Linked DNA regions of Saccharomyces cerevisiae S288C. The protein of the gene in region 1 binds, or shares a complex with, the protein of each later gene. Each region holds a gene or a part of one and is shown on either strand. Other genes may lie near its edges.

Region 1 (10,089 bases):
CTGGCTAACCAAAATATTACTGCCTGCTTTACCAGAAACACTTTAGAAAGATCGGATGGTACAGTACTAGCTCCCATAGTCAAACATGGAGACTTTTACTGGTTATCTAAAAAATACCTAATTCCTTCGCACATTTCAAAGCTAACAATAAACAACGTCAACAAAAGCAAAAGCGTAAATAAATATCCATATCCGTTAATACATCGAATGCTTGGACATGCTAACTTCCGAAGTATTCAGAAGTCTCTTAAGAAGAATGCAGTTACATATTTGAAAGAATCGGATATTGAATGGTCTAACGCTAGCACATATCAATGTCCTGACTGTCTAATCGGCAAAAGCACGAAACATAGGCATGTCAAAGGATCACGACTAAAGTACCAAGAATCATATGAGCCTTTTCAGTACTTGCATACCGATATATTTGGTCCTGTACATCACTTACCGAAAAGTGCACCTTCTTACTTTATATCGTTTACAGATGAGAAAACCAGATTCCAATGGGTGTACCCATTACACGACCGTCGTGAAGAATCTATCCTCAATGTTTTTACATCGATATTAGCATTTATTAAGAACCAATTCAATGCTCGCGTTCTAGTTATCCAGATGGATCGTGGCTCCGAGTACACTAACAAAACTCTTCATAAGTTCTTTACGAACAGAGGTATTACTGCATGCTATACAACCACGGCAGATTCTAGAGCACACGGTGTCGCTGAACGATTAAATCGTACTTTATTAAACGATTGTCGCACACTGCTTCATTGCAGTGGTCTACCAAATCATCTATGGTTCTCAGCAGTCGAATTTTCTACTATAATCAGAAATTCATTAGTCTCACCAAAAAACGATAAATCTGCAAGACAACATGCAGGTTTAGCTGGACTGGACATTACTACTATACTACCTTTCGGTCAACCGGTTATAGTTAACAACCATAATCCCGACTCGAAAATACATCCTCGTGGCATTCCAGGTTACGCCTTACATCCATCACGAAACTCTTATGGCTATATTATCTATCTTCCATCCTTAAAAAAGACAGTAGATACTACCAATTACGTTATATTACAAAACAAGCAAACGAAATTGGACCAGTTCGACTACGATACACTCACTTTTGATGATGATCTCAATCGTTTAACAGCCCATAACCAATCTTTTATTGAACAAAATGAAACAGAGCAGTCATATGATCAAAATAAAGAATCTGATCATGACTATCAATCGGAGATTGAAATAAACTCTGATCCTCTAGTGAACGACTTCTCGTCCCAATCAATAAACCCTTTACAATTAGACAAGGAACCAGTCCAAAAAGTACGTGCACCAAAAGAAGTTGATGCCGACATATCTGAATACAATATTCTTCCATCTACTATACGATCTCGTACACCCCATATCATTAATAAAGAGAGTACCGAAATGGGTGGTACCGTTGAATCAGATACTACTTCACCTAGACACTCGTCTACCTTCACTGCACGAAACCAAAACCGACCTGGTAGTACCAATGAGATGATTGATTTGACCTCACAGGATAGAGTTAATTATGGACTTGAAAACATCAAAACTACACGTTTGGGTGGTACGGAGGAACCATATATTCAACGAAATAGTGATACAAATATCAAATACAGGACTACAAATAGTACGCCCTCAATAGATGACCGTTCGTCCAACAGTGAATCCACTACTCCCATCATCTCCATAGAAACAAAGGCTGTATGTGATAATACACCCTCCATTGATACGGATCCGCCAGAATATCGATCTTCTGACCATGCGACTCCTAATATAATGCCTGACAAATCCTCAAAAAATGTTACGGCTGATTCTATTCTTGACGACCTCCCACTTCCTGACTTAACCCATAAATCTCCTACGGACACTTCTGATGTTTCAAAAGATATTCCACACATACACTCTCGTCAGACTAATTCCAGTTTGGGTGGTATGGATGATTCTAATGTTCTGACTACTACCAAAAGTAAGAAAAGATCATTAGAAGATAATGAAACTGAAATTGAGGTATCCCGAGACACATGGAATAATAAGAATATGAGAAGTCTGGAACCACCAAGATCGAAGAAACGCATAAATTTAATTGCAGCAATAAAAGGAGTGAAATCGATCAAACCAGTTCGAACGACCTTAAGATATGATGAAGCAATTACATATAATAAAGACAACAAAGAAAAAGACAGATATGTTGAAGCTTATCATAAAGAAATTAGCCAACTATTGAAAATGAACACTTGGGATACAAACAAATATTATGATAGAAATGACATAGATCCTAAAAAAGTAATAAACTCAATGTTTATATTTAACAAGAAACGTGATGGTACACACAAAGCTAGATTTGTTGCAAGAAGCGACATTCAACACCCCGATACATATGATTCTGATATGCAATCCAATACCGTACATCACTATGCACTGATGACGTCATTGTCAATCGCATTAGACAATGACTATTATATCACACAGCTGGACATATCCTCTGCTTACTTATATGCTGATATCAAAGAAGAATTATACATAAGACCTCCACCACATTTAGGTTTGAATGATAAGTTACTACGTTTGAGAAAATCACTCTATGGTTTGAAACAAAGTGGTGCAAACTGGTATGAAACCATTAAATCATATTTAATAAATTGTTGCGACATGCAAGAAGTTCGCGGATGGTCATGCGTATTTAAGAATAGTCAAGTAACAATTTGCTTATTCGTTGATGATATGATATTATTCAGCAAAGACTTAAATGCAAATAAGAAAATCATAACAACACTCAAGAAACAATACGATACAAAGATAATAAATCTGGGTGAAGGTGATAACGAAATTCAGTACGACATACTTGGATTAGAGATCAAATATCAAAGAAGCAAGTACATGAAATTAGGTATGGAAAAATCCTTGACAGAAAAATTACCCAAACTAAACGTACCTTTGAACCCAAAAGGAAAGAAACTTAGAGCTCCAGGTCAACCAGGTCATTATATAGACCAGGATGAACTAGAAATAAATGAAGAGAAATTTAGAAACAGATTTTTTGGCACAAAGGCAATGAGACTTAGAGATGAAGTATCAGGTAATAATTTATACGTATACTACATCGAGACCAAGAAGAACATTGCTGATGTGATGACAAAACCTCTTCCGATAAAAACATTTAAACTATTAACTAACAAATGGATTCATTAGATCTATTACATTATGGGTGGTATGTTGGAATAAAAATCAACTATCATCTACTAACTAGTATTTACGTTACTAGTATATTATCATATACGGTGTTAGAAGATGACGCAAATGATGAGAAATAGTCATCTAAATTAGTGGAAGCTGAAACGCAAGGATTGATAATGTAATAGGATCAATGAATATTAACATATAAAATGATGATAATAATATTTATAGAATTGTGTAGAATTGCAGATTCCCTTTTATGGATTCCTAAATCCTCGAGGAGAACTTCTAGTATATCTACATACCTAATATTATAGCCTTAATCACAATGGAATCCCAACAATTACATCAAAATCCACATACTCTACAAATTTAAAGAAGTTTAACTCCAACAATAGCCGTTACTAACAAGAATCCCAAAAAGTATCAAATTATTCGCTGATTCTTCAAAACTATTTGAAAAAAAAAATCTCACATTTTTGATATTCCAACATAAGTAATTGAAGGTCAATGATAGAAGCTATCAATAATATTATATAATTTTTAACTCAGCAGATATCGGAAATAAAAGACTCCATGGCCAAGTTGGTTAAGGCGTGCGACTGTTAATCGCAAGATCGTGAGTTCAACCCTCACTGGGGTCGTTTATTTTTTTTGCATTAAATTATTTAGTGAGCTAAAAACTCCATTAAAATAGTAATCGTATAAACTAATATCAAGTGAAGCTGACTACTTGATTAGGCTCACTACTTAGCCACATTCGGGCTTTCTTCTGTCTTTCTTGGAAAATAACAGCTCCATTTGATCTTGATATAAAAAAGGTCCTTTGATCCCATCCGAAACTCGTTTCCTTCTGCCACAACTCTTAACAGTCTAACTACGAGAGTCTAGCGAAGTATAAAAGTTTAAACAATAAATTTTGGAAACATTTCAAGGGCAAAATACCAACAACTATCAAATAAGGGGAATTAATAGACTCCACTTTAAATTAATCCATTGTCTAAAAATGGTAATGCAATTATTATTTATTTAGTAATCTAATCAATTTTGTTTTTCGACAATAATATATAAATCGTGCCTATCTCACCTCTTTTATAGGTACTTTCTAGAGGTCAAGGGCCCATAAATAAATTGGCTTAAAGGTCCCACTGGAATCCTCCACCCAAAGAATATCATGTTTCAAAGCAACTTCCATTTTTTTCTTCCCGTTTCGGATCTCAAATAAAGGAACTATACAATCTTGGTCTCTTCCATATGGCAGTTGAGTGTACCTATTTGGTATTTTGCTGATCAAGTACCCTTTTTCCAGGCAGTAGTCTTCTACCACATCCTTGAAAGAGCTGCTAACTTTTCCAAGCGGAATATTTTGTACAGTATAGGTAGGTTCTTGTTCGCTTTGACTAATATCGTCGATCACTTGTGTTTCCATTAAGTTTCGTAAACCCTGTCTCAAATCGAAATCTTCATCTAATGTAGATTTATCAAGGTGGTACCTATGAGACATAGCGAATATATTATAGCTTTTTCTGATCTCCGATAGTTCTATTTCTGTTGGTAAAGAGTGCTCAAATACCGTATTCATCAGCCAATTAAGCCACCACTTTGACTTGTGTAAGTCTTCCACTGTACTATAAAGATGCCATTGATAGAGTATTTTGTTTATATTATTAAAGGTTCCCCGCATCATCAATTCATACTGTTTTGGATGAAAATAATGGGTATAACTTCTCAGTTTTTTCATAAAATAGAAAAATCCAGAATCTTTTTCTTTCCATTCCTGTTTTTCCTTCCAATCCTCTAACTCGTAGATGGGGTCATTATGTCTTTCCCACAGCTCGTCCAGGAATTTAGGAAGAAACTCTTTACATAAAATTTTGTAATATCTTCGTTCGCAGATAAGTTCTTTGATAAATATAATATCAGAATTAGTGATACAAAATGATTCCCTATGGTACCAATTTTTACAATAAGCAAAAAATTTTGCTTCAATCTTGTCCACAATTGTGTCTTTGATCTTATCGTCAATTAAAACCATAAAATCCAAGACCCATATTCTTGGCGAAACATGGTCTACTTCATCGTGAAGTTCCCAATTATCTAATTCCTGTAATAGCTTTGGATAGACGAATTCCTCCATGATATGCTCTTTACACCCGATAAAACTTAGCACTTGTTGGAAATCCAGTAATAGGGTGATAGCGCTGTCGATTTTTGATTTAGTCATATCAAACCCTTCCCAAAATTTTTTGAGTTTGGGATATATAACTTTAAAGATTGTTGTTTGTGTCCTGTTCAAAAATTTCGAAGTTGTATCCATTCTATATGCGAGTAGTTCTATAATTTGCGTTAACTCATCAAGTATATCGTTTGGCTTTTCTAAATGATCCAAATCAAATTCTATTAGTAATTCTTTTCTCAATAAGCAGGACGTTAGCCTATCTATGAGCTCGTCGTCGGACAATTTTAAAATAGCACCAATCTTATCATACAGGGAAACATGCTTGCTTTCGTCCCTCAAAGTAACCTCCAATTCAGAAAGAAGCCTCTCTTGTCCATAATATTCTTTGACTTGCACTTCTAACGGAGAGGTGCGCTGACGAATAGCTTCCAAACTTTTTTCAATACCCAGCAGCTCTTGCAATATCTCCACAACAACATCTTTTTTCGGCTTTGGTACTGCATTTAAAGGGTCTAATTCTTTTAGGATACTCTCTGGTAATTGTACCCCTGCTAACCTCAATTCTCTCAGTGTTCGCACTATAGTCATATCACCACTATCATTTAACAACGCTTCGCCTAAAACCTCCGTGGAGGTTTTATTGAATTTGACTTGTTCTATACCTTCAACCACCTCATCCTCAGAGCTCAAGTAATCCTCATTTTCACTGTGATAGTTACTGGAGTTGGTATTTGAAAACATTCCTAGACCTGCATTGTGCATAGGTCGGCTTTGGGTTTCTATTGGTGTAGTTATACCAGAACCATCCTTCCCAAGGCCTTTTCCCGCAACATATCCCATACTCGAAAGTAACTTCGCACCAATACCATATGTCTTCGTTAATTTTGAGATCGTTGGGGCATTGCCGCTACTAGTTTTCAAGGCATCATTAGTGTATGTCATGTCACTATTCATGCTTGAATTATTATCTTCCTCATCGCTATAATTATAGGAATCGATTCTTCTTTTTTTGAAAAAGAACTTTTTATCTGTGTTGGAGTCCGAATCCTCCATGTTTTGGCGTACTGAAGGCTTAAGTTCTTCGACCTCTCTCGGTTGTACTATTTCGAAATTTTGGATTTTTGTTATTGTTTTGACATAATGTAAATACTAGATGCGCGCTCTAAGGCCTCAGTATTAAAAATTGCAAGATATCCCTAACTTGATAATTATTTGAAAGTCGCATAACGTACGATAAATTCGATACTGCGAGGATATTATCAACGTATTTAACACCTATGAACGAAGCAGATGTTACAAAATTTGTTAATAATGCCAGGAAAACGCTGACCGATGCTCAACTTTTATGTTCAAGTGCTAATTTAAGGATTGTAGATATTAAGAAAAAATTGTCATCTTGGCAGTTGAGTATTTCAAAACTCAATTTTCTAATAGTTGGCTTGAGACAGCAAGGAAAGTTTCTTTACACTATTTTAAAGGAAGGCATTGGGACAAAGCTAATCCAGAAACAATGGAATCAAGCTGTCTTAGTGGTCTTAGTTGATGAGATGAAGTACTGGCAATATGAAATCACTTCTAAAGTACAAAGGTTGGATGGTATAGTAAATGAATTGAGCATATCAGAAAAAGATGATACCGATCCCTCTAAACTAGGAGATTACATCTCGAGAGACAACGTTAACTTATTGAATGACAAACTGAAAGAAGTGCCAGTAATTGAGCGTCAAATTGAAAACATTAAGCTTCAATACGAAAATATGGTCAGAAAAGTTAACAAAGAACTGATTGATACCAAGTTGACGGACGTAACTCAAAAATTCCAAAGTAAATTTGGTATAGATAACCTGATGGAAACAAATGTTGCAGAGCAGTTTAGCAGGGAACTAACGGACCTTGAAAAAGATTTAGCAGAGATAATGAATTCATTGACACAGCACTTTGATAAGACATTGCTGTTACAAGATAAAAAAATTGATAACGATGAACGTGAGGAGCTGTTTAAGGTGGTACAAGGCGACGACAAAGAACTATACAACATTTTCAAAACTCTGCATGAGGTAATTGATGACGTGGACAAAACAATTCTTAACTTGGGTCAATTTTTGCAGGCAAAAATAAAGGAAAAGACAGAACTACACAGCGAAGTTTCTGAAATAATAAACGATTTCAATAGAAATTTGGAATATCTATTAATCTTTAAAGATATTTCCAATCTGATTGATAGCTTCAAAAATTCCTGTACACAAGATATTCAAACAACTAAGGAACTTTGTGAATTTTATGATAATTTTGAAGAAAGCTACGGTAACTTAGTTCTAGAAGCAAAGAGGAGAAAGGATGTGGCAAACAGAATGAAAACTATATTGAAAGATTGTGAAAAGCAGTTGCAGAATTTAGATGCTCAGGACCAGGAAGAACGTCAGAATTTTATAGCGGAAAATGGAACTTATCTTCCTGAGACAATCTGGCCCGGTAAAATTGACGATTTTTCTTCCCTGTACACTTTAAATTACAACGTGAAGAATCCTTAGAAAAAAGGAAAAAAAGGATACGGTACAAAGATTCAATAATTGTATCAATATTTCGAAAAATACTTTATCAAAAAAGCAATACTTGAAGGAGAAAGGAAAAAATTCGCTGTCTTCTTCACTTTTACGACAAAGAAAAATGTGCCCTTTTCAACTAAAAGTCATGAATGAATAAATAAATGATTACATATGCGTATATTTTATAGTGAACAACTTCTGACATATTATCCCGAATGTGAGTAATCATGCTTGTGCTGTGAATCTGTGTTGGTGTTTGGCTGTGACCCTGCCAAAAAGGTGCTCGAAGTGCCGGAAACAATTCCACTTTTATCCAAACTGCTCGTAGTGGACGAGTGGGATAACGTTCTTGTTAAATATTTTCCAAAAAGTAAACTGTTTGGGCCAAATGAGTCGCTATGTTCTAATACAAATTGGCTATGATTGGACCCTGAGGTGTGATGATCCCTTCCAGAAAAGCTTGCCTTTTTATTGGGGTTCTTGTGCGAAATTATTCGAGCAGTAATCATGTTATTCCTGCTACGATTGGCCTCACTGAGAGTACGACTATATCTTTCTATCTCCTCAGCGAAATTTTCCTCAAAAAGACGCACTAGAAGATCATGTGATGGTTTTAGATCCTTTGATGGTAGTAGTTCTGCATGCAACGTTAGACAGCGACCTAATACTGCAACAAGCTCATCAAAAGCTAGCGTCAATCTTCCTAAATCATCAGTACTGAACTGCTTGGATGTGGAGGGTTCTAAAAAGGCCTTGTACTGTGATATGCCTCCATTAACTGGAGCTGATATTGTTCCCGTAATATTTGTAGAAAGCTCGGTAAATAAATCGTTCACATCACCGTGGTCCTTCAGAGTTTTATTGCACATGTTTTCAAGCCCATATAACTCCTGTATTTTAACTTGTAAGGAACGAATTGCATTTTCAAGTGGAGAAAGTTTGCTCTTCGTAACCTTTACAATTTCTGATCTATTCATTAGTGTTGGAAAAGTATTCATAGTATGATACGTATATTCCTCCACCCACAGGTCAGTGACTCCTTTTGCGCCTGGCAAACGTCGAGAATTACTGAAAGTCCTCAAATCTCTATTCTCAATGTACATCCGCACTTTGTTGTTAATTGAGCTTTTCTTGTCACTACTGTTGTAATTATCGGATATACTTAAGCACGGTTCGACGGAAGCTACATGAATGTATTTTCCCATTGGAGGATTCATCAATAACATATCCACTTCTTCTTGTGAGTGTACAATATTTGACCCATGATAGCTTCGTAGAAGCCTGTCATGCATAGACGTAATGTGTTCAAATGGGAGACCCTCAAAGACGAACGATTTATTTCTTAATGATTTTGGAAAACCAAATCCCATGAAAGAAACTTTAAAATACGTTGGAACCAGTCTATCAATGGACTGTAATCTGGTATAAATGCCTGCTATTTGGTCATGTACAAAGGCCAGCCCGTTTAAATCATAATTGATCTCATCGTAGGCTTTTATCAAGTCCTTGTATACCGCTAAAGCTTTTTCTGGTTTTTGGCCTCTCGAAAAGTTTCTTGCGGATTCCTTAAGAAGATATTCCTTCCTCTCAAATGAAGATTGCTCTGGCAATGGCGGGAAAGATATTGCTTCAAGAGTATCATTAGAATCCCAAGCGTACGTACCTGCCAAGAGTTCTAGACTCAAAGCTGCTTGAACAAAGTCTTTTTTCTGAATAAAGTGGATAAACAAATCATATATCATTTTATGAAACAACTCTGGCCTGTTTGCTTCTAGCAAGTACTCGAACATCTCTATGTGCCGAGCAGTCCGATCATCATCAAATTCTTCTTGATTAGGTATTTTGTAGATTTCATTTACAATATGCAAAAAACCAAGTAAATCTCTTAAGAAATCCATACAAGCAGGAAAAAAGGTGTCAGAATCGGGAACGTGCATCATAAAAAACAAACAAGAAACAAACCTTTCCAATTCGTAATCATTCAAACGAAGCTTCCCGATTTGGTATGCGCTGAATAATTCTGGGATACATGCGTTCACTGCTGGTTGTAGGGACCCAAATATCCTCCAAAAATTTAGCCCTAATCCCCATAGTATTTTGCAACAAATTCTTGTTGCATCGATATGTCTATGGAAAGCAAAAATAAAGATCTCACGTATCAAA
Region 2 (8,894 bases), on another chromosome or scaffold:
ATGGAAGGATAGAAGAAGAATGAAAATGAAGCTTGAGGGCAAGACAGTCTCGAGGAAAAGAAAGGCGAACACTACAGGGGACGAAGGGATAATTCCGGGTAGAGGCGAGAATTCTATTAAAAAATTGCATAAGGAGAGTTCCTATAGTTCTGAAGAGCAGGAAAAATATAAGGGTAGAAATGCTCATAACACTCAAGGGAGAACTCTACCAGCCGATTCTCAGTTTGTTTCATCCCTGTTTACATCTAACAGAGAGATTACAACTGCGGTAAACACTAATATTCATGATGAAAACGTTGCCATCAATCCGTCTAACGCGCCCTTGAAAGGTGATCAGTTTGCGTCTTTAGGTGTCTCTAGTCTTCTTGTTTCTCATCTGGAGCAAAAAATGCGTATTAAAAAGCCTACGAGCATCCAGAAGCAGGCCATACCTCAAATAATAGGTAACGCGGGGAAGAACGATTTTTTCATTCACGCCCAAACAGGCTCAGGTAAGACTTTATCGTATCTTTTACCTATAATATCTACTATTTTGAACATGGATACTCATGTTGATCGTACTTCTGGTGCATTTGCATTGGTTATTGCTCCTACACGAGAACTAGCATCACAAATATATCATGTTTGTTCCACGCTTGTGTCATGTTGTCACTACTTGGTCCCATGTTTATTGATTGGTGGAGAACGTAAGAAATCAGAAAAAGCTAGATTGCGTAAGGGTTGCAATTTCATAATCGGTACACCAGGTCGTGTTTTGGATCATTTACAAAATACAAAAGTTATCAAGGAGCAATTGAGTCAATCTCTAAGGTATATCGTATTGGATGAAGGAGATAAGTTAATGGAATTGGGTTTTGATGAGACGATCAGTGAAATTATTAAAATTGTTCACGATATTCCCATCAACTCCGAAAAATTTCCCAAGCTACCGCATAAGTTAGTGCACATGTTATGTAGTGCTACACTTACTGATGGTGTTAATAGGTTAAGAAACGTGGCGTTGAAAGATTACAAATTGATTAGCAACGGTACCAAGAAAGATTCTGATATAGTAACGGTTGCGCCCGATCAACTATTGCAGAGGATTACTATTGTCCCACCAAAGTTGCGTCTTGTAACATTAGCTGCTACTTTGAACAACATTACCAAAGATTTCATCGCTTCCGGTCAACAGTCCAAAACGCTGCGTACAATCGTATTCGTATCATGTTCAGACAGCGTGGAGTTTCATTATGACGCATTTTCAGGAAGTGACGGGCACCATAAAAATCTAACGGGTGATTCTGTAAGACTATTGACAAAAGGAAACACTATGTTTCCTTGTTTTTCAGATTCTAGGGACCCAGATGTAGTGATTTATAAATTGCACGGTTCTTTATCCCAACAAATGAGAACCTCTACATTGCAGCATTTTGCTCGTGATAATGAAGCCACCAAGGGAAAACATCTTATTATGTTCTGTACAGATGTCGCAAGTAGAGGCCTAGACCTTCCCCACGTTGGATCTGTTATTGAGTTGGATCCACCATTTGCTGTTGAAGACCATTTACATAGAGTTGGTCGTACAGCAAGGGCCGGTGAGAAGGGTGAAAGTTTGTTATTTTTACTTCCTGGCGAAGAAGAAAAATATATGGACTATATCCAGCCGTATCATCCGATGGGTTGGGAATTACTGAAATTCGATAAAGAAATACTAATGCCGGCTTTCAAAGATGTGAATGTCAACAGAAATGATAAATTCATTAGAAAAGATGAGAAATCGTCCAAAAATAAAGACGTGGGCGATAAAGAATATGAGTGGGATACCAATGCTACGACATGGCATTTGAATATAGAAAGACGAGTAGTGGGAGATTCCGCATTCAAAAATTTGGCCGTTAAAGGTTTCATTAGTCATGTGAGGGCTTACGCAACGCATATCTCTCAAGAAAAGAAGTTTTTCAACGTGAAGTTCTTACATCTAGGCCATTTAGCTAAAAGTTTTGGGTTACGTGAAAGGCCAAAGGCTATGGGATTGCAAAGTAGTAAGGATGGTAATAGTGAAAAGAAGCCAACTAAGGAAAACTCTAAAAATAAAATGTTTCGTATGGCTCGTATGGCAGAGAAGCAAATAGCAAGTGAGTTTAACTACTAAATAGACAAGAACAAGCATTAATTCATATAAAAAAAAATTGTATACTATGAAGACAAAGAAAATGATAAAATCTACAGAAAATGAATAACGGTTATATCCTCTATCATATATAATATAAACTTTTACCATTCATCAAAGTACAGCAAGAATATTCTGTTCTACTGATGCGTCTGCATTTTGGTCCACTTGTACTCTTGACTTTAAATCATAAGCTTGCATGTCGTGAGCCTTTTCTTCCGTTTTTCTATTCTGTTGTGCAGTATCTGAATTTTTTTTCACATACGTAGGCCTATCGAATTGTTTTTTATCACGTTCGTAATCCCATGCTTTGGACTGTAAATGCAAATTCTCCAAGGATTTCGTTGTATTTATTTCACTTTTCAGAGCGTGTATATGTTTAAGGTCGCTGATATCTTCTTCGTCACTTATATCACTGATGTCATCATCTGAACCTGCAATTACGTTCTCTGTATCCTTAGGGACTTCTGTCATAGTAACTTTACCGTTTGAACCTATATTCATGCTAACAACGTACTTCTCGCGCCTGCCATTCCGTTCCTTTTCTACTTTTTCCCACTTTCTCAAATTACGTTGTTGCTTCTTCAACGCAAGAGCTCTTTCTCTTGCGCTGCCCCATAAACCCACCTCCTGATTCATGTCAAAATCGCTGGCATTATCAATAATTTTTGTTCTTTCTGCCGAAGTGTCTTGGAAATATAAAAGTCTATCTAATCGTTCTTGTGCTGCTAACAACTCCGGGTTTTCCTCAGCTTTATGGTCATGCTCGCTCGCTTGTCTTTCCTTTGCTTCGCTCTCTTCTTTTTCCTCCTGCAATTTCAACACTTCATTACGCTTTCTTTCTCTTTCTCTTTTCCTTTCGATGAAATCAAATAATTTGTCCTGTTCAGCAAATAAATTTTTACCCATACCGGAAGTTATTTTGTAGGTTTTAGTCTTCTTCTTTGGGACATTAGCTCCATTTGACGCATTGGATAAGGACGATGATGAACCGTTTAGTTCGTTTTTTTCCTGATTTAAAATTTCTACCATTTGGGTTCTTTCGTTATCAGAAATCAACTGTTCATGGCAATGACCGCATTTACCTTTATTCAATCCCTCTATAACACAAACCACTTTACCACAGTGAAGACAGTTTGGCGCGATGTCGAAAACTGGATGCCTTGTACCTTGACAATTACAATTTTTAGAAGAACCGCTATCTCGAAGCTCTAGCATCTTGATTGCTTCGTCTATTTCTTGTAACGATTGTAATTTCCCCTTTGATCTGTGCTCTTTTTTCTCCTTTATGGGGTTTGATTGCGTAGATTGATTTGATGGTTGAACGGTAGGCCTCGTTGTCGAGCTTTTCTTCTCATCCTTTAATTTTTTTGGTTTTTCATCTCCCTTCTTATTGATATAGTTATTAGTGGGCTGTTTTGATTCATTTTTCCATGAAGTGGGGGCAGTATGTTCAAGATGCACATTTTTCGTTTTTTTTTCCTCTTTTTTATCATTCTGATTCAATAATTCATTGAACTTCATTACAAATTCAAACGATAGATCTTCATGACCTAGGAACTCCAAAAATTTTGAAGCAATTTGTTCTGGATCATCAGATGATGTACTCAGTACTTGTTCGCACAGCGCTTTTACATCAGACTCTTCCAAAGGCAATATTTGCGGAACTTGTTTGATTGCATAGTCAATAGCCTGCTTTCTTGTCATTATTAATTACTGCAAACCCAAGGTTAAATAATTAAGCCACTGTTTCTCGGACTACGTTCACTTTGCCATTATTTGCTGCTGCCAGGCTCTTTATGCCTCTTTCTTGCTGTATAATATTTCAATATTTGTCCGATACCCGGCAAGCGAAGATCATAAAGAATATCGAAATGAACCTCATAACTGAAAGCAATCATCATAAATTTGTGCTTTGAAGAAGCAATATAACTGGTCGAGTTACGTCAAGTTCTGCCTAGCAATGTTATAGCATTTGAACACATTATGGCGATCAAGAAAAGAAATAAAATTAGGTTACCAAGTGGTTCTCCTGAGGAGGTTGGAATTGATGGTTCTGCGCATAAGCCAATGCAGCAAATTAAGCCCCTAGTGTCGAACGATTCTGAAGATGATGACAACGACATTTGTGTATTACAACCAATAAAGTTTAAAAAAGTTCCTAAGCGCGACATTACCTTTGATGGCGAACAAGCAATAAAGGAGGATAATTCGCATTATGAAGATCTTTACCATTCAAAGAAAAATACCAATGCATCGACGCGAAACAAAGATGATTTGCTAATTCTCAATATGGAGGACTTGATGGAGGGGAATCATCATCTATTAAGTGATTCTTCAGAGGCTGGCAGTAGCTCCGAAGGTGAGCACATTAGTAGTATACCAACCCGAGGAGAAATTGCAAAACTGAAAGCACAGAAGTCATTATCTAGAAGGAAAATTAGTGAGAGTGATGTTACAACAGAAAGAGATTATGTAAAATTGTTGGACAGTGAGGATAAACGCGAAATTATGGAGACAATAAGATTAAATGGTGGTCTGAAACGTAACAATGAAAAGGAGATTACGAACTTCAGTGACGATGAAATGCAAGGCTTTCAAGACGAAATGCTAGCCCTCACGGATAATCAAATTGCTATTCAAAAGGATTCTAAAAGAAAGATTATAGAGAAGGCCATAAATGAAGTGCCCTACAGAACTAATGAAGAATGGGAAACCCAGCTTTTAAGCAAAGGAAATATAAACAAATCGAATGAGAAAATCATCACGCCCTTACCGGTACTTTTCCCAGACGATGATGAAAGTGGGAACAGCATTGAGAGAATAAACGAGATGGTTTCGAAGATCTGCTTGCAAAGGAAGAAGGTTGAGATGAGGTTGCAAGCGTTAGAAAAAACAAAAATTGACTTGGAAAAATCTAAAGCAAGCCTAATAAATAAGCTCATTGGTAACTGAACGTTAATCATGTTATTTTTTTAATCGCTGTACTATTAAAAAGGGATATCTTTACGACAAGTGATATGGATGTATAGATTGATGGTGTATATTTGTATACTATAAAATGTCCAATATATTGTACACTATTGAATCACAGGACACAAAGTAAAATGGTAGCAATTCTGTCGGAGAATGAAAATAATGTACTTATTTTCTCTTTTCGCGAAATGCTTTCTTAAAGTCGTCCAGTACACGGTTTTCACTAGCAACGTTAACCGAGTAGGCTGCTGGGTCAACATGGTTCTTGCTTACCTCCCAATCAAATTTGGAATCTGATGACATTCTTGGATCATAAAATGCTGTAATATCGACTGAAGAATCCACTGTATCTTCTGGATTATCAACTCTGTTATTACTATTGCTGTTTGATTGTATGACGTTATCATTAATTTTAAGTATTGGTAGTTTCTTATTGAAATTTAATGATTGGCTTTTGGGAAAGGCATCTTCGTCACTACTGCCTAGCATCTGGTTTATGTCATTGAAATGCTGATTGTTCTGTCTTATTGTACTAGGTAACACTGATGTTGCGTGTAGACTGGCACGATTTTTTTTTCTCCCATCAAGACTCATGTTTAAAGACTGCAAAATAGGAGTGTGTGAATTAACGTTCTCACTCGGAGCACTGGTTGACAGCTTGAAGTTGAAACCAGATGCTATATCGCCATCATTGTCATCTTCGTCGGATAAGTCATCAATTTGAGACCAACCATTGAATGAGTCCTCCTCAATGCTGGCCAATGTCTCTCTAGATTTGTTTAGTTTTAGTTCAGGAATTTTAGATGAACTTGTATCGTAGTATGGCAATTCAATCCCATCGGCCTTTAATACATCAAAATATGATGGAGGATCCACAGGAATAGCATGAGAATCGGCTGCGCCGCGCTTAGCTAGATCAAAATCAAAATCTGGAGGCGGGGAGTTTGATAATGGTTGGTAATTGAGAATTGGTGAGGTGATGGGCGATAATGGTAACGCCTGAGGAGAAGTTAATTCTCTTGGAATCTGATTGGGCTTATAAATGTTTGCGACCAGCTGTTTGGATGCGAAGACATTGCTACTTTGATCATTCTTCTTGGAGGTATTATCTGACTTGCTTTTCTTTACGCTTTCAGCTCTATTACGCACTACTGGAAGATCAGACGGTATTCTAATGTTCATCTTCTGCACGTTAGGTGAAAGAACGGGAGACGAAAGAACTTCTTTTGGGAAGAAAATATTGGAATCATGATGACTTGCGTAATTTTGTTGATCTGCTGCTGGTGCGAAATTACCATCTTCATCACAATACTGGAAATGACTCTCGTAGCTCGGTAGCAAAGTATTCGCGTGTGAGCATAGTTGATTTAAAATATGGATTGGAGAATCAATACTTATTTCGAAATGTTTTCTATTGTCCCCGTACTTCTTGGAAAGACGAAGGCAAATTTTTATCCAATGGTGGGCTTTGATTTTATCATAATTTGTATCAGGGTGTAACCGTATACTGTTTGTAAACTTGCTTGGGACAAACACCTCGAACTGAAAATCTTTGTTAACTAGATCGCCGGATTTTTCATCCAAGAGGATGTTCCCTCTATTTTTAGCCTTCAAAGGATTCGAACCAGCTGGTATATGAGGCAGTTTAGGACCGTTATGTTCAGCCAACAGAAACTTTTTAGTTGGCTCTAATCTACGAGCCTTCTCGTGATTTCCATTACTATTACAAGTGTATTCCATAGACTCTGTTAGATAAATTCTAATACGATGCAGAGTAACTTTATCTAGAGGAGCGAAATGGAAATCGATGGGTAAAAATGCATTCAAAACGATCTCTTTCGAGAAAATTACCACGTCATAATGAAGAAGATCTTTCCAGTCCTTGGAAATTGCAATAGCTTCAGTCTCTTCTACGGATCCATCAGAAGGAAGCCTTACGACTTTGATGGGTAATTGAGTATGTATAGTTGATTTGAATGCGCCAAACCTCTCTATGTCTATTGACAGTTTATACTCCACGGAACCAAAATTGGCTTTTATACTTTCTGGATAAGATTGCGATATTGGCTGTTCAAAAGTGTAAATATAATCGCCCGGTCGAAAAATAAAAACTTCTTTAGAATCTTTGGATGGTGTAAGATAGTTATCCTCTTGCTCAGGACTTGGAGTAGCGCCACTATTACTGAATGTTTTTGTAAACAAATCAGATATGAAGGTATGAGGTGACAAAGAGTTACCGTGAAAATTTGCCGGTACCGATCCTCTTCGACTAGATGATGGTAATGGTGTCTTTTGAATAGCCAACAGTTTACTGTCGTCATGGGAAACATCACTTGATACTGGCTTGTTACTCAAATTATCGGATGACAATGAGTTGCGCTCATAGGCATCCAGACTTAGATTGCTATTATCTTTAGGGGGTTCAGCGGTTGGTGGGATATATACTGAAGCACCGCTTTTTTCAAGTAGATAATCTTCATCGCTCATAGATGGGCGATTGGACGAATTATTTGAGCTGTGATGTTCTAAGGTGAAAGAATTCATGCCGTCATCCGCCTGATAAAATGGCCATGTGTGATTGACAACAGTTTCAACATCTGAAAATTCTTCTCTCTTCGGTGGTATACCTTCCGGCCACTCTGTTCTGGATATTCCTTTGAAGGTTATCGATATACTTTTTAATTTATTCGGTTTCAACACCCTGACGATAAGAGATCCTCGTAAGATACTGGGGGCTATTTCAGACAGTCCGTTAGTTTCAAATCCTTTTAAAAACACTATGGGTTCGGCAAGCTTTACAAAGACTTGTAGTGTTGTTGTCTGCACCAGTGGGACGGCATCAGGTGCTGCATTTATATCTTGCTCCATGGGAAACACTGGAGCTACAGTATCATTTTCTGTATTGAATTGGAGCATGTAGTCATAGAGGAACAAGCAATATTCTATGGGATTCCAGCGTATTTGTGCGGAATGGAACTTTCTGTTGGTTGTCTTTCTTGTTGCTTGTCTCTTATTTCAACGAGTTGTTCCCATTTTTGATAAGATGGGGATAGCGAAATAAGACAAAAGAGTCAATATTTGGCAATTCGCTCAAAGAGGTAAAAAGACGGCGCTATTATATATCTGCGTATATATACTACAAACAGCCGGGAATACATTTGGCAAAGTCCTCGTACGACAATAGGGCAATTGCTAGTAGTGTTAAGCAGTTTTTCAGGTGAACTTGCAAACCGAAAAAGAGGAAAAATTGGTTCACATAGTAAAATGCACTCTCTCGAAGGAAGTGTTCGGTGAAAGCCACGATATGCCGCTGGAAATTACAGTTCCTTGATTAAAGATTCTACTGTTTGCTTCAACTTGTTAATTTGGTCTTCATTGGCGTTTGTAATTTCTTTGAGAAGGTCGTTGACTTTTATTAGGTCATAATAGTTTTCGTAAATGGTATTCTTGATAGAATTGTTAGTCTCGGTTTCTTTGCCCAAGAGCTTATTGTGAATTTGTACTAGCCTCTTAAAGGGCAGGTTCTTTATCTCTTCTTCTGCATCTTCTGACCCCTCCTTGAGATCCTCTTCAGTTGCACTCAATTCGTCATCTTTCACTGGTTTCTCAGTGTTTGCTTCGGTATCTATATTCACATCTGTGACTTGCTCCTCCCCAGAATGAGCCTCGCTGGCTTTTTCCCCTATACGTGCTTCTTGACGACCTTTATTCGGTTCATTTTCCAAGTTGTAGAATTCTCTTAAGAGCAATCTTCTATCTTTGTTCA

What was found.
Region 2: SPP382 (region 1) and NTR2 share a complex: the UniProt entries of both Saccharomyces cerevisiae proteins name them as parts of the NTR complex.

What each region holds. Positions count from the first base shown.
Region 1 is NC_001144.5:969,739-979,827, reverse strand, and holds SPP382 (mRNA splicing protein SPP382), read right to left. Parts: upstream 6,434-10,089; coding exon 4,307-6,433; downstream 1-4,306. Other genes in the region: protein kinase regulatory subunit ATG17, read left to right, coding at 6,658-7,911; guanine nucleotide exchange factor DCK1, read right to left, coding at 8,133-10,089. UniProt on the Saccharomyces cerevisiae protein: Involved in pre-mRNA splicing and spliceosome disassembly. Promotes release of excised lariat intron from the spliceosome by acting as a receptor for PRP43.
Region 2 is NC_001143.9:478,384-487,277, reverse strand, and holds NTR2 (Ntr2p), read left to right. Parts: upstream 1-4,138; coding exon 4,139-5,107; downstream 5,108-8,894. Other genes in the region: DBP7 (putative ATP-dependent RNA helicase), read left to right, coding at 1-2,134; RQT4 (Rqt4p), read right to left, coding at 2,267-3,859; ALY1 (Aly1p), read right to left, coding at 5,297-8,044; VPS51 (Vps51p), read right to left, coding at 8,446-8,894. UniProt on the Saccharomyces cerevisiae protein: Involved in pre-mRNA splicing and spliceosome disassembly. Promotes release of excised lariat intron from the spliceosome by acting as a receptor for PRP43.